Linked DNA regions of Styela clava. The protein of the gene in region 2 interacts with the protein of the main gene of each other region in a pairwise test. Links are inferred from orthologs where the notes say so. Each region holds a gene or a part of one and is shown on either strand. Other genes may lie near its edges.

Evidence for each region.
Region 1: the proteins of E3 ubiquitin-protein ligase NEDD4-like (region 2) and arrestin domain-containing protein 3-like interact in binary tests that used the Homo sapiens proteins (3 or more experiments, as listed by UniProt). The link is inferred for Styela clava from reciprocal best matches to the Homo sapiens genes NEDD4L and ARRDC3.

Annotation. Positions count from the first base shown.
Region 1 is NC_135255.1:15,214,183-15,221,187, reverse strand, and holds the start of arrestin domain-containing protein 3-like, read right to left. Parts: upstream 3,012-7,005; 5' UTR 2,940-3,011; coding exon 2,822-2,939; intron 1,970-2,821; coding exon 1,844-1,969; intron 1,600-1,843; coding exon 1,501-1,599; intron 1,083-1,500; coding exon 955-1,082; intron 1-954. UniProt on the Homo sapiens protein: Adapter protein that plays a role in regulating cell-surface expression of adrenergic receptors and probably also other G protein-coupled receptors.
Region 2 is NC_135257.1:7,635,149-7,642,223, forward strand, and holds the start of E3 ubiquitin-protein ligase NEDD4-like, read right to left. Parts: upstream 3,010-7,075; 5' UTR 2,913-3,009; coding exon 2,868-2,912; intron 2,324-2,867; coding exon 2,247-2,323; intron 1,931-2,246; coding exon 1,831-1,930; intron 1,110-1,830; coding exon 1,071-1,109; intron 223-1,070; coding exon 169-222; intron 1-168. Other genes in the region: kelch-like protein 7, read right to left, coding at 3,733-5,394. UniProt on the Homo sapiens protein: E3 ubiquitin-protein ligase that mediates the polyubiquitination of lysine and cysteine residues on target proteins and is thereby implicated in the regulation of various signaling pathways including autophagy, innate immunity or DNA repair.

The DNA.
Region 1 (7,005 bases), on a different chromosome or scaffold from region 2:
CTGGTGGATAGCCCGATATAGCTGTGGTAACGCGGCGATGTGGCTCATCGTACTAAGCGTTAGGAATACGCTAGCCACCGCACCCCTGATTACTCTGCGTGGGTTCGCAGGTTCGGATCCCTTGCGGGGATAGTTACGTGCGAGAGGATTGCCGGACTCCTTGCCGCCGAAGGGTGGTTCACTTAACCCCTGCTCGGTTACGTCTTCCTCCACCATCAGGTCCATGCTTACAATAACAAATAACTATAACTAATCCCATACCGAACATGGAATGGTAACCGGACGAGAAGCCGTGGTTCGCCATATGGTTAAACCATCTTATCGACTTTCCTCTCCCCCGGGATAAATATGTAAATCCTATCCTACACAGTCAATATAAATCTCCTCATAAGAAGAAGATGAAATAATCAAACAATGCTAAGACGGAATTGAACCAACTACACCAAATATAATAACTGCCAGTGACTCCGAGGAGTCTTGATTAGATAATAAAATATATATAAAAACATGTTTTGTAGTATTGGTTACTTAACATTTTGAATCGAAGTAGCTTATTCAATGCTGCAATTTTTCATTTGTATTACTGTGTATTCACATTCAGTTATCAAAGAATAGCGAGCGAGTTTGTTACGTACGTGCTTTCTGCTAAGCATAGAAACTCGCGTACAACTGAACGCAATTCACTGACAACAGCGGCACAACTTCCCAATACAACTCAAAGAGAGACAATAAACAAAGCGTCTACAAGCTGTACAATGGCTGGTGAATAGATGAGATGCGCCGCAACGCAACAATTAAGAATGTCCCACTATACTCATCACATAGGAAATCACATAACGTCACAAAAGGGTCAAAAAAGATGGCCTTGTCGTCAGAACTATACTTCTATAGTTCTATATATAACTGACTTCTATATATAAGATATAAGGATTTTATTTTATTTTTGACTCTCACCATCATGTCCTGTTCCTTGTTGAGATCTAATATGTCCAACAATGTAAACATACTTTTTGTATTGTGATCATATTTCCACGGTCTAACAATTTTCGCTTTGGCGTAGTATCGTACGTACCCGATTTTATCTGTATATATAGTCATATATATTAGCGAAGTTATCAATAAATGAAATTCAATTTCAATTCTTGTTCTAAAATCAGTCAAGTATCGCCAGAGGTCTGGTCTGTCGGGCAAATTAGCGAAATTCCGCTCGTTTGGGTATTTTCCTTATTTTCTATAATATATTTATATATATTAGGACTTGGCATTTTTCGTACTCAATCTGAATGTCCTACGTGAAACATATTGCGATGTATGGAGTAATGTTGTGTTTTTCACAGCCCGAAATTTAGTAGAATCTTACTCCTATCTTATGTCCATCTAGGGCCCAGATTCTAGGCTATTCTATGTCTGTTATTTTCAACACAAATATTTTTATTTAAACATGGAGAAGAGACATCAATGATTTTTATCAACCAATCGAAGTATTCTTCTTAGACTTACCTTCATATGAAGACGGCAAAGGTGATGGGAGACGAAAGCTAAATGGAAAAGAATGGCTTCCTTGTGCTAAAGTTGTTGCGTCATCGGCGCTAGAACCCCCTGTGTAGAAAATTTGAATACTGATAATATGGTCTGTTTCTTCATCCCATAGTCGGGAATGATTTTAATAGTTGTGAGGGCTCACAGATCTGTATATTTGAGAGCTGTGACCTTGCTTTTAACAAAGTTTATACCTTATTTGTGTTAGATTCAAATTATTAAACACTTTTCCATTTAATTACTAACCAATTGCTTTCAGGAAGTAAAACAAAATCTTAACGTTTTTTATTTTTCACAAACGTACCTTCGCCATACACAATTGTTTTCTCTTTGAAAAGACCTTGCTTATTGTAATGATAAACATGATTGTTTTGTCCGTAATATTCATGCCATCCAACATGTGCTTTGCCAGTGATCTTTACTTTTAATTCTATGGTGAATAAAAACAAAGAATATTCTGAAGAAAATATTTCGTTTTAATGTTTTATTTTGCTGCAACTTGAATGCTTGTAAAAATTTCTCAATTGCAATATCGGCAATCAATCATAATTGATGATCGTCTGCTATCATGTAAGGCGTGACCTTTGCAGTCACAAACAGTGGATGTCGGTTTTGCAAGTATAGAAATTGAAGCCGGGTTTGTACTTATAAACTCTACTGATTCGACATTTCCAATGTCGAATTTTTCGAGTCGAAGCATTTTTTGAACCCAATGATGGAAGCCGAGGTATTGGTCTTCATATACAGATATAGAAGTCGCGACGATTCATTGGCTCGGAACCAAGTTCGAGCATTTAAAATACGCCACCACCCAAATTTAGTTTAACAGATTAATAATCAAAAAGTCCTTCTGCAACTCGGAGCTCTTGTCCTACTACATTATATATTTGACAAGGTATTCGTCCTGCTGTATAAATTTTAAGAACCTCGTTTATGTAATTTCCTATACACTGCAACAAAAATTCTATCTATCACGGTATATGTACCAAACAATCGTGATATACATGTGCATCCCAAAATATACATATAGCGCCAACTAAATCTACATATACTTCCAACTCAATACACAAATACAGCCATTTCGGTGATGTACATACACAGCCAATGTCTTATACATATACTGCCAACTTAATTTACAAATACAGCCATTTCGGTGATGTACATACACTGCCAATGCCATATACAGCCAATGGAGACAAAACAAAAAATTATTGTTAAGCTATAATTTTATATAATGAAATAAAAGATTCAATGGAACGGAAAAATATCGTATATTATATACCTTTCATTTGCATTGCTTCGCTGAGCGAAACTTCCACAGTCCCCGATATTGTATCACCGGGTTTGTAGATTGTCTTTTGATCAGAGAAAATAACTCGAAATGTTTGTAGACTCGGCATATTTGGAATTTATTCACGGAATTTTAAGGTAAAAAATATTTTTTCTAAATTACAAAAACATTTTTTATGTTCAAAATAGACTTCGCTGTATAGATCTGGAAGATCCAGTCGCAGAAAAGCGAGTGAATAATTGTTTGTTCCTAATATACTATTTCGTATTGCAAGAAATATAAAACCGAGCTAGTTCTGTAATAGTTTGTAATAGAAAAAACCAAAACTCCAAATGATGAAAATTTTTCTTCATCTAATTAGAAAACTTGCACTTTGTTTTCGACATTTTGATGATTCAGCGACATATTAGTTGGGTGTTAAATTTACATTTTGGTTCATAATTATATATATCTTAACCATGACATAACAATTTCTTCCTCTATCTGAACTTCTGAAGTGAGTTGCAAATCAGTGGTACGTCGGATGCCTTTGTTAAAAAAATATTTGTGTTACCATCGAATTGAAAAAACATTCACTGCATAACTGGACATTTACGTCTACCGGCTGAGACAACCCGCTAAAATCGGGACTGTCCCGGCTAAACCGAGACGTATATGGTAGGCCTACGTAAAGCACCCATCAAAATTGGCAATGTACATTCCACAACATTCTTCAACTGGCTGTTTCATTAATTTATACCTTTCAATCACACAGCGATAATTTTGTATTGCCCTAAAACCGTTAACCATGTACCAATATACATTCACAACTATTCACAATAAAAAAATGACTGCTCTCGTACTCTTCAACAACGTTCTACGCTGATATTATGCATGTAGTGATAAAGCAGTTTATACGTAATGCTATCAACTTTGCAAATATGTATCACGCAGATAAAAGTCAACTGATCGATTATACATAGCATCGTTGAAATGACTACAGAACACATTCATAATAGCCTCACTATATCGCCATGGCAACTAAAACTAGACTATTATTCTTTAATGGCATGTATATACGTCCGCACACAATGGTGCACACAAAAGAGTTCAAAGAGTACAGAAATCTAATACTACTTATTAATCCCAGCCTATCATGTTTCATTTAAATATAGTCACTAGGAACAACAGAAGATGTCGTCTTATTATGTCGATAAAGTTTAGTCTATCAAGTATAACTGGAAAAACATTTGAACGTAATCAGTTTACCTCCGGATCAAAGTGGAAACCAAATTGTTTCCATTCAGTTCAACAACCACTCGTAAAGCACCGCTGCCTTCAACGTCTCGCTCATACAGCTTTCACGTAACCACGAGAAACGCTTTACGTAAAATTTCTACGCTCATTTAACTCATACAAACATCCATCTCACGATTCCCATTCTCACTATCATGTTAAAACAAGTCAATATTTTGAACAGATCACGCGTAACCTTTGTGCGTATATAAAGGTTTTGTTTGTCATTTCGCAGCGAGATCACCACTCACAAGAAACACACTACGAGTTCACAATTTTTAAAACATTCATCGTTGGGTTTGTCAATTAGTATAAAGCTCCAAAATTGTTGAGAATAATTTTTTCACCATGAATTGATGTAAAAGTGTTTCGAACATCGGAAATACAAAAATAATGATAAAACGTGGACTTGCAATGCGAAGTGTTTGGCATGGTTGTTCGTGGGATCACTTGGAGTGAATCGCAAAATTTATCCATCACCTGCTTAGATTTCATAAAAGTTCCGATTTCTTACAATCCCGTTATTCCCCCAACAATCAAATATTTTGTCAAAATTGCAGCCCATGGTTGATTAAAATTGACTATCGGATAAATATATCTATCCATTCATATTATCACACGTTGTTTATTCATTCCCTGTCGACAAAACGCGATTATTCTGATCACCCTGCTGTCTAGTAGAACTGTTCTTGAACTATTGGCGATATATTCTTAACCAGCCTAATCGCCACTGTCCCCAACGATAGTTTTATACCTATCCTTACCATCCTCCAAACCAAACTACCAAAACAAATTTGTCCATTGTGTTACATATATTACTTGCCTCAGGCATTTATCCATTCATTCGAAGGTGAGCGCATCGTTACAACCCCAGTATCTTATGACCGGTTTCAAACAAAGAATGACCATTTGAGGACAGCCGACCGTCTCTAATTTCTAATCTTGAAAATTAGTGATCATGCTCCTCGTTTATTTGAATTACATTAGTATGCCCAAAAAAAAATCGGGATTGGAATTTAATAAAAAGATTAACGCACATATATAGGTCAAACAGGGCCTACCTACTACACGCAAGTAGGAAGAATAGTTTTGAGAGAAATTATTGAATATATATACATTTTACGAATACTCAAGTACGCATATCCGAGTTACCGTTATACAATTCTTTGCTTGTGATTCGTTGTTATTGCGGCTAGGAATAGCAAACATTCAAATCAAATACTCAAGCACGCGTATCCGAGTTACTGTTATACAATTCTTTGCTTGTGATTCGTTGTTATTGCGGCTAGGAATAGCAAACAATTCAAATAACTGGAACAGTAGAAGAAACTTGCCGAATCTAAAACTACATAGAATTCTTTAAAACAACATACACACGCGCAAGGGCGATAATCTCACTCGGAGTGTTAGACGTGCCAGCATCAGGTCTATATTATCAATCGCTTTAACTGTTCGTCCTTTCGAAAACTAATCATTTTGCTCCTTGAGTTTTCATCAATTTTTCAGAGGGGTCAGCTGAGTAGCCTGCCCTTTAGTACGAAAGCCATTTAGATATCCAATGCCGAGTCATAAATAATATTTTAAAGTTTTCTGGGTGATATTTGTACCTTCACTAATCTGAAGTCAAAAGAATTACAGCCCGTCTCATTCGCAAACTATTTATTCTACCCATGTGCTACACTTTGTCAGATGGGTTCTAATATAGGCTGTAAACAAAAGGAGCAATATTTGTACAGTGAACAAAATCACGTGGGCTGACATATTTCTCTTTAACTATACATACGCATCACGAGCTCACGTGATCAGCTTCCAAGAGTTGCGAGTCTGTAAAATTAACTTGCAACACACAGTAATTTTGCTTAGCAAGTTCAATTTAAAAAGTTTAAAACAGCCTAAAACAAAAGTCGAACAATGATTAAACAAGACTTTCTGGGCCAAACGAAAGATACAACAATACCGACAATGAGTTTCATTGACGCGCCATAGGACCGGGTACAACACTAGCAATTGCAGTAAAAGAGAATTGCACTTTTTACACATATCAACAAAGCATACCTCATGAAGTCACATGACAAAGCGAGATGAATTGCACATTTCAATAACTAAAGTATGGAATTTTACCGGTACTGTACCCGGAAGTCCCAATTACTTTTATGAATTCTATGAGATCTAATATTTCATCCAAAATTTCGCTGTGTTATATTTTAATCATGGGAACCCCGTTTTTAATCCGCGTACAGTCTCATTTGCGCTTTTATTTTGCAAAATCTTGCAACGCGGAAGTAGGAAGTTATTCTATACCGGTGACGCAATGTAGGTAGGTACGGTAAGTTACTGTAAAAAAGAATACTCTAAATTAAAGAATACTACGGTTGTGAGTCGAATCATTTAGCTTTCAAATTCACGTTGGCACAAAACGTATGAATCATCATTGCCACAGGACTAGGGCTGGGCATTTTTGAATATATATACCCGATGATTTCAGAATCGAATCGAATATTTTTTTCGAATCGAATTTCGAATACTTTTGAGATATATAATTGAATGCGATTTTTTTATTGTGATTGGTCCTGTCAACAAATGAATTACTGAGAGAAATAGAATAAATCACTCGGACAGATTGCTGAGCGTTCACACACAATAAGAAACACGTTTTATCAATAACTCACTACAGAAAATAGTCATGTCTGGATTGCGTTGAAAAAATATGGCTTCAAATGATAAAATATGAGAAAATCACCTCGACCATTGATTGACGGAAAGGAAAAAAAACAAAATTTTGCTCTGAACCGATTCGAATAATTGACTATTCGATTCGAAATGCCCAGCTTTACACAGGACCTAGTAAAGCTAGGGCAGCGTTTCCCAAACTTTTTCGGCCACGGAACACCTCCACTTTT
Region 2 (7,075 bases):
GTTTATATTAGATGAATCTATAACATTTAAATTTGAAAATTTATAGCATTCTCGAAACCAAAGTAGCCTACAACTTCAAAATAAGCTCTCCTGGTATTTGAGATCATTTTCGCAAACTAAAAAAACACCAAATAGCAAAATATTTAGTCAATTCGAAATACAACTCACCACTCTGTTTTCATCAAAAACTTCAAACAGTAGTCTGTTTTCCTTTGGTACCACCTGATAAAGTGGAAGAAACAATTAAAATTTGACGGGAGCATATGAGAACAAGAGAAATTGGAATAACAGAGGCAAACTACATACAGGCCAATGATACTCAACAAGTCTGGCTATTACATTTTAAACTGAATTTATCACAACCTATATTATTATTACCGTATGTTACATAAGTTATTATTGTTCCACTAGACAAGTTTTATTCTAGAAGACTCTCAAATTTTTCGGAACTACAAAAAAAGGCCAATGAAATTCTGGCCATAATTCCGCTTTTGTTACATTACCGATATATATCATGAAGGACGAGAAATACATGTGATTGTGGGCTAATATGTATATATGTGTGCTTTTCAATAATTTACAGGAGTTCAATATTAGGATTACATATACTTATGTGTGATATAAAATATCAAGTAGAGTGCGAAACTGGTCCACAAAAATATTCTGTTTCTGATTCTTTGACATCATTACCTCACTTCCATTTTTGTTTATAGTCTTATTATCAGCATTTGAATTATAAGAAGTGGGCATGGCTTAGATTCAGGCAGCAGGTTCTAAGACATACCGTTCCAATTCTAATATACCAAAATCACATGATGTGAGCAAGATTTGCCTAATTTCAATTGATTCTTAAAACCTTGCTTCTGTTCAAACAAATTTTGATGGTTTGTTGTAATTGCAATGATCACAACAATAAATCAAGTTATTAGTTAAACTTCTCAGAGTGGATTAACAGGACACATAATTTAGTTTTACCATTTAAAAATGAAATTATTGTCCAAAATCAGTCAGAATCTCAAACAATCAATACATCACTTGAATGCTATCGGAGCATCCCATATAATACTTACTCTAAAAGTAAATTCTTCCTCCCATTTTGGATTCAAGGTCTAAAAATATCGGAAAATAAAATGAAATGGTTATCAACTTTGCTACATAATATTATTCTGAGACATACATAATAGAGGGAAATTGAAGTAGCATAATTGGCTGTGATCTATTATTTTTATTCAGAAAACCGAATTATATTGAACATTAAAGTGTGTACCGGTAAATAGAATAACGTGAAAGTGAATCAAATCTCAAGATTAAGTAAGGAAGTGATGAGTGCCTATTAGAAAAGTTTGTTTTGTCGACTTTTAAATCCAAGCAATTTCACCGTTACAATCCTAATTTTAGTTGAAAAACACATTGAATCATATTATGAAACTGGGTATTATCAAAATTACAATTGTTACCGTAGATCTTTCTTTCGCCAATATTAAAATATTTGACTAGTTTGAATGTTATTTCATATTCCATAATAGTAATTCTTACGCAAAATTCAGAAAATCAAAATTCAGAAAACAGCTAACTCTAATCCATGATAAACAAGATTTTAAACCAGTAGTAATGTTAAAGTAAATGACATTTTAAAACATAATATACATAGTCTACATAGTTTTATGTAAACAGTCATTGATCCTGATCTGCGGGGAAAGAAACCTAAAATGAATTCATATTTCATGACTTTACTGACCCCAGTTAAACATTGCGTTATGACTATTGTAAAGTGATGTGGAAACATCTATCAAATACTAGGAATCATATAAATCAGAGGAAATTTCGTACTTTTTTCTTTGTTTTGGTTGTTGCAGTTCCATAGCTTTCATAGGATTGCCCGAGTGATATTCGCTTTGGTCGATAGAGAGATACCTTCACGTATGGATCACTAAAATTATTAAAATCAATGATTGATTTCGCATAATATTTGTATGACTAATGTAATAATGTATATTTCTTAAACCCTCTTTGGCCAATCTACTTCAATCACTCACTAACGATCTACTCTTGTCTGATTAGCAGAACGCTCATCTCAAGAGCCATTTATTACACACAAGATTTTAAGCAAAAAGTACTTGACACCTTTCTTAGAACAAAGCTCAGATCCTTAAAATATGTCAAAATCTCTACCATAATAATAAAAAATAGTAATTTGCAGTAGACATAATGAAGAAACAGATATGCATAATAGGAGAAATTAGTACCTGGCACCAAATATATCCTTCTTAGCAAGATTATGACCAGATAAGACTTTTACTCTCACCAGTCTGTGGACATTCAACTGAAAATAAATCGAAACATGTTATGAGTTGCTATTTTCTCAGCACAGCCATATACACACACAATACAGCGAAGATTGCTTCAACAAATTCATTTAATGAAGAAAACCAAAACCACTTTCTGTATATAAGATAAATTATATGACAGGAGAAAGGAGTGGTTTGATTTTGGTGCACTTTCGAGAACAAAATAGAAAAGATGTCATTACTAACTGTGCCACTGGTTTCATTTTGCAAAAAAAGGAAAATTCTACTAGATATAATGTTAAACTATATGGCTATAATAAAATTGATTTGTAATTGGGATATATCCAAAAAATAGTACTTTGTGCACATTGAACAGAGTCAATTATTGATGGTATATCTCATCATGGTGAATGAAAATTTTTATAAAATCATGATTTCATAATAATATCAATCTTCTATTATGGTATGTTTGTTTTAAAAAACATTAGTGTGAGAATATTGAATTTCCAATATTTCAATTGATAAACAATTATTGTTTATTTATATGTTTATAAAAAAAATCAGAAAATATAAGAATACCTGGTGATTTTTATGTCCATATATTACTGAATCAGATGAGGCCATACGAAGAAAATGAAGATGACTTATGCAAGCTCAATCAGTACAGTGTCCTAACTATTAATCCTACAAAATCTTGAGTTTATGTACCAGCAGACAGTAATATTTATATAACTATAAGTTAGCTGTATCTACACAAAAAATTACAGGATTTTACACTTAACTATGTCATGCATCATAACAAAACAAAAAAGCAGCATAGGCCCAAGAGACATTTTAAGTTCTGAATAATTTATTGAAATCCTGAATCTGGCATACATGCCAGACAGAAAACTTTTTTATACAGCACTTTTATAGATAATATCAATCATTATTGCAATGTAAATATCCCAATTTGATTTTTTTATAACAAATAAAGGCAAATGGTGTATAAATCACTGAGCGGAATATGTCCCTCGCTCTTTGGTCAAAATATTTTTCATCAATGCAAATTAGGTCAACTTGAAAGACATTCAAAACAGAATACAACTTATGTATTAATGACAAGCAGCCTGGAGCAAACGGATGATTGAAAAGGAACAAAATGTGAGACAAAACAAAAAAGCGGTGTTTGTAATTGGCAGTGACTAAACTTCAACAAAACGAGGAACTACGGTACGTTGTGTAAACATATGGCAAACATAAATCCCACTAAATTATTTGATTTGAAATATACAATTCTAAATTATGTATAGCTAACATATTTACAAAGCTTTTTTAAACATGTCATGAATCGAAGTTTGAATACTCATAATTTAGAAACAATATTGTAGTAACTTCCTCCGTGATTTAAAATTGAATAGTATATTCAATATTCTTTCACAGCAGCTATAACAGAATATGTCGATCACATTGAAAGAACCCAAGTTATCTCTCTCACTGGTGCCAGGAAACGTGTTTGTCTTTCCCAAGTATTTTTCTCTATGTCATAAGCTTCCACTGGTTCTCCAAAAAAATTGGTCCCCCATATTCCAGAAACAGCATATATTTTGTTGTCGTGTACGAATCCATGACAATAGTTTCTAGGCATTGTCATTTGCAAGATGTCGGTCCATACACCAGTGATGGTATCATAGAATTCAGCATATGATAGAACAGTTGTATTTTCACCTCCAATAACATAAATCTTGTCATTATAAGTCACCGCAGCAGCACCATATCTAGGAGTCTTCATTGATGCAACTCCTTGCCAATGCATTGTCTTCAGATTCAATTTCTCAACAGTGTTTAAAGGTGTTTTTCTTAACAGACCACCACAGCTGTATATGCTATGACCAACAGCAGCCAAGGCATTCATGTCTTTTTCTTCAGACATATCAGGTAGAGGTGTCCAACGATCCTCTGGGACAGAGTACTTCTCACCTGATGCTGTAGTTTTCCCTGGTGATTCATTTCCCAATCCTATAACATAAATTGCACCATCATGTGCAATAGCAGGTGGTCTTGCACCATGATCTTTAAGCATACTTGACACCTTTATCCACATAGCATTTGGATCCTTCGTATATTTGAGTCGATATACTGACTTATCATCCGACAAGATGAATATATACGGATCAACATAAACAGCACTATAATTATCACAACCACTGATGGCATCACTGCTTACTATCTCTGTTTCTTCCCAAACCTTTCTATGGCCATCATACTCTCTGATGAATTCTGGAGATCCATCAAGAACCACAACTTTGTTTTGATAGGATGGAGCAACTGTCTGATCACAGCTCAAAGAAGAGACTTTGAGATGAGATTTGAACACAGACAAAGCTGTTTTAGTTAGACTTTCTGAGCTCGAATTGATGAGAACTTCATTTTCAACAAGATGTCTTCTATAAGGCAAACCCATGAGATTCAGATCAACAAGCTGTAGTAGTTCTGGAAACAGCTCTTTTCTAGGCTTGATGTCATATTCAACCCACTTTATGATTGCATCACAAACTTGTTCTTCACGAGTATCCTTATTTTTCTGTGATGAAACCAAATAAATCAAATACTCTGATTCAAGTTGCAGGAATGCAGTAGTTTTCATGATCGCAACAAAGTGATCAATAGCATACTTGTCACATTTTTCATCCAAATCCTTGAAATCATATTTTCTGGCCAATTGCTTCGAAATGAAAACATTCTCTCTGCTCATTTGTTCAGTAAGATGTTTCAATATGTTAGTCACAAGTCTATGAAGTTGGAAAACATCAGCAGTGTGGTAGACTTCTAATATATCATCGTTTTCAAATGATGCGATACCAGTGTAGATGTAAGCAATGCATATTCTAACAGCTTTGATTTGAACATCTTGGATTTCAACTGTTCCTTCCATGCTTTCTTTTGTGTCATGGCTGAGCATTGCCCGAAAGTAATCAGAATTTGCAGCAATAACATTTTTGTGTACAGGAAGCTTCTCCTCTTCAACTACTATAACAAAATCACAATAAAGCCCATATTCTCTCAAATTATTTATCCTTTCCAGTGAGGAAGACTGGTACTCGCTGTCCGCTATAACAACTTCCATAATCAAATTTTAATCATCCAATAACAGACTGAAGATATGAGTTTTCAGTATGAATTACATTGAAACTTATATATAGTTTTAAAATTTGATCTCAGTGATTTAAAAGTGAAGAACACGCTACTCAGCTAGTAAAGATGAGACAATGTATGTAGGCTATATGATACCGTACTAATATTATATTAAATTGGTATTTCTTTCCTTTTAGCAACCATATCAGCTGCAGCCTGCAGGCATACAAAAACGCCTCTCATAAATTCCATTGTTAAATATAAATCAAATCAAACGCAAAGCGCAATTCAATTTCAAATAAATACAGTAATGTATCCCAATTCTCAGTATTCATGAGAGTGTTCGAAGTTGCGGTACAAAGCATTAATTATGGAATTTGAGTGTACAATTTTTAGGTGACCCAATATCTCAAACACTATAATTGTTACTACAATAATATATTCATTTTTATGAACTATTGAACAATAAGCAACTTTAAACGAGTTGACTCTTCCACCCACTATAAGTGGACAAATGTTTAATTCAGATGTTATTTGTATATTTGTTTCATCATCTTCAAATGTCATGAATTGATTCAACAGTAAGAGTGTCATAATGGACTATATCAGGGATGGCGAACCTTTTTTAATAAATGGGTCAAAAATTACATTTTTATTGTGGTAAAGAAGAATGTGGATCATACATATTTAATCAAAGCCATCCCTGGGCTATATGGTACTGTAATACAGTAATAATTGATATGGGTAATGCAGTAATGAAGCACTCAGTACCCATATAGTGGCTATGGTCAGCAAGTAATGGTACATGAGTTGTTATGACAGTGTGAATCAGTGGCAGAGTTGTAGTATAAACCAACAAATACTATATTACTGTATTATAGACACTCGCAAACTGCCCAAATTCCAATTGTCAGATTCCAGTCGATCAATCTTAATTTGAGCTTTGGTCTTAACGAATTAACATTTCCAATGGTGAATTTCAACTAAAAAGTTTTTTCAAATCATATAAACATTATAAGTTTCAACTCCTAATCAACAATTCAAAAATATGAGAATGAAAAAAAATTATTTACACACCAAACAAGAATAGGATTAGACGTTATTTTATACCGGGGACTGGGGAGAAGTCGATAACAAGGTATAATCATATGACATACCATGGTCTACGTCCGGTTACCAGTCCATGTCAGGTACCATGTGAAAAAAGTTACCTAGTTAATTGTTTCAGATGCATGAACTTTATGGTGGAAGAAGCCGTAATCGACCAGCAGCTCCCTATGGCTGTATGGCGATGAGAAGTCCAGCAATCCTCCCACACATAATTATCCCCATGGGATTTAAACAAACCTTCAAACACACACTGGGTGCATCGATGATTATGCCACAGTGAAGCAATAAAAAGGACATATTTTATACCAGTGCTCTTCTATTATAACAATAAGGATATATAGATTTATGAAAAACTATGACAAAAAGTCCTTCAAATCAAGGGGGATTCCTGCATTTGCAGATTTAAACTTAGAAAAGTGGGTATAAGTATCGTTACCTATTCTAAAACCAGCATACAGGCATAACAGACAGACAGAAAATAATCTAAAGAAAAGGAATAAGAACTGATTATGGAATTTAGATAACTAGCAAAGCCTTAGGGTTTATTAAAAAAATGATTGATA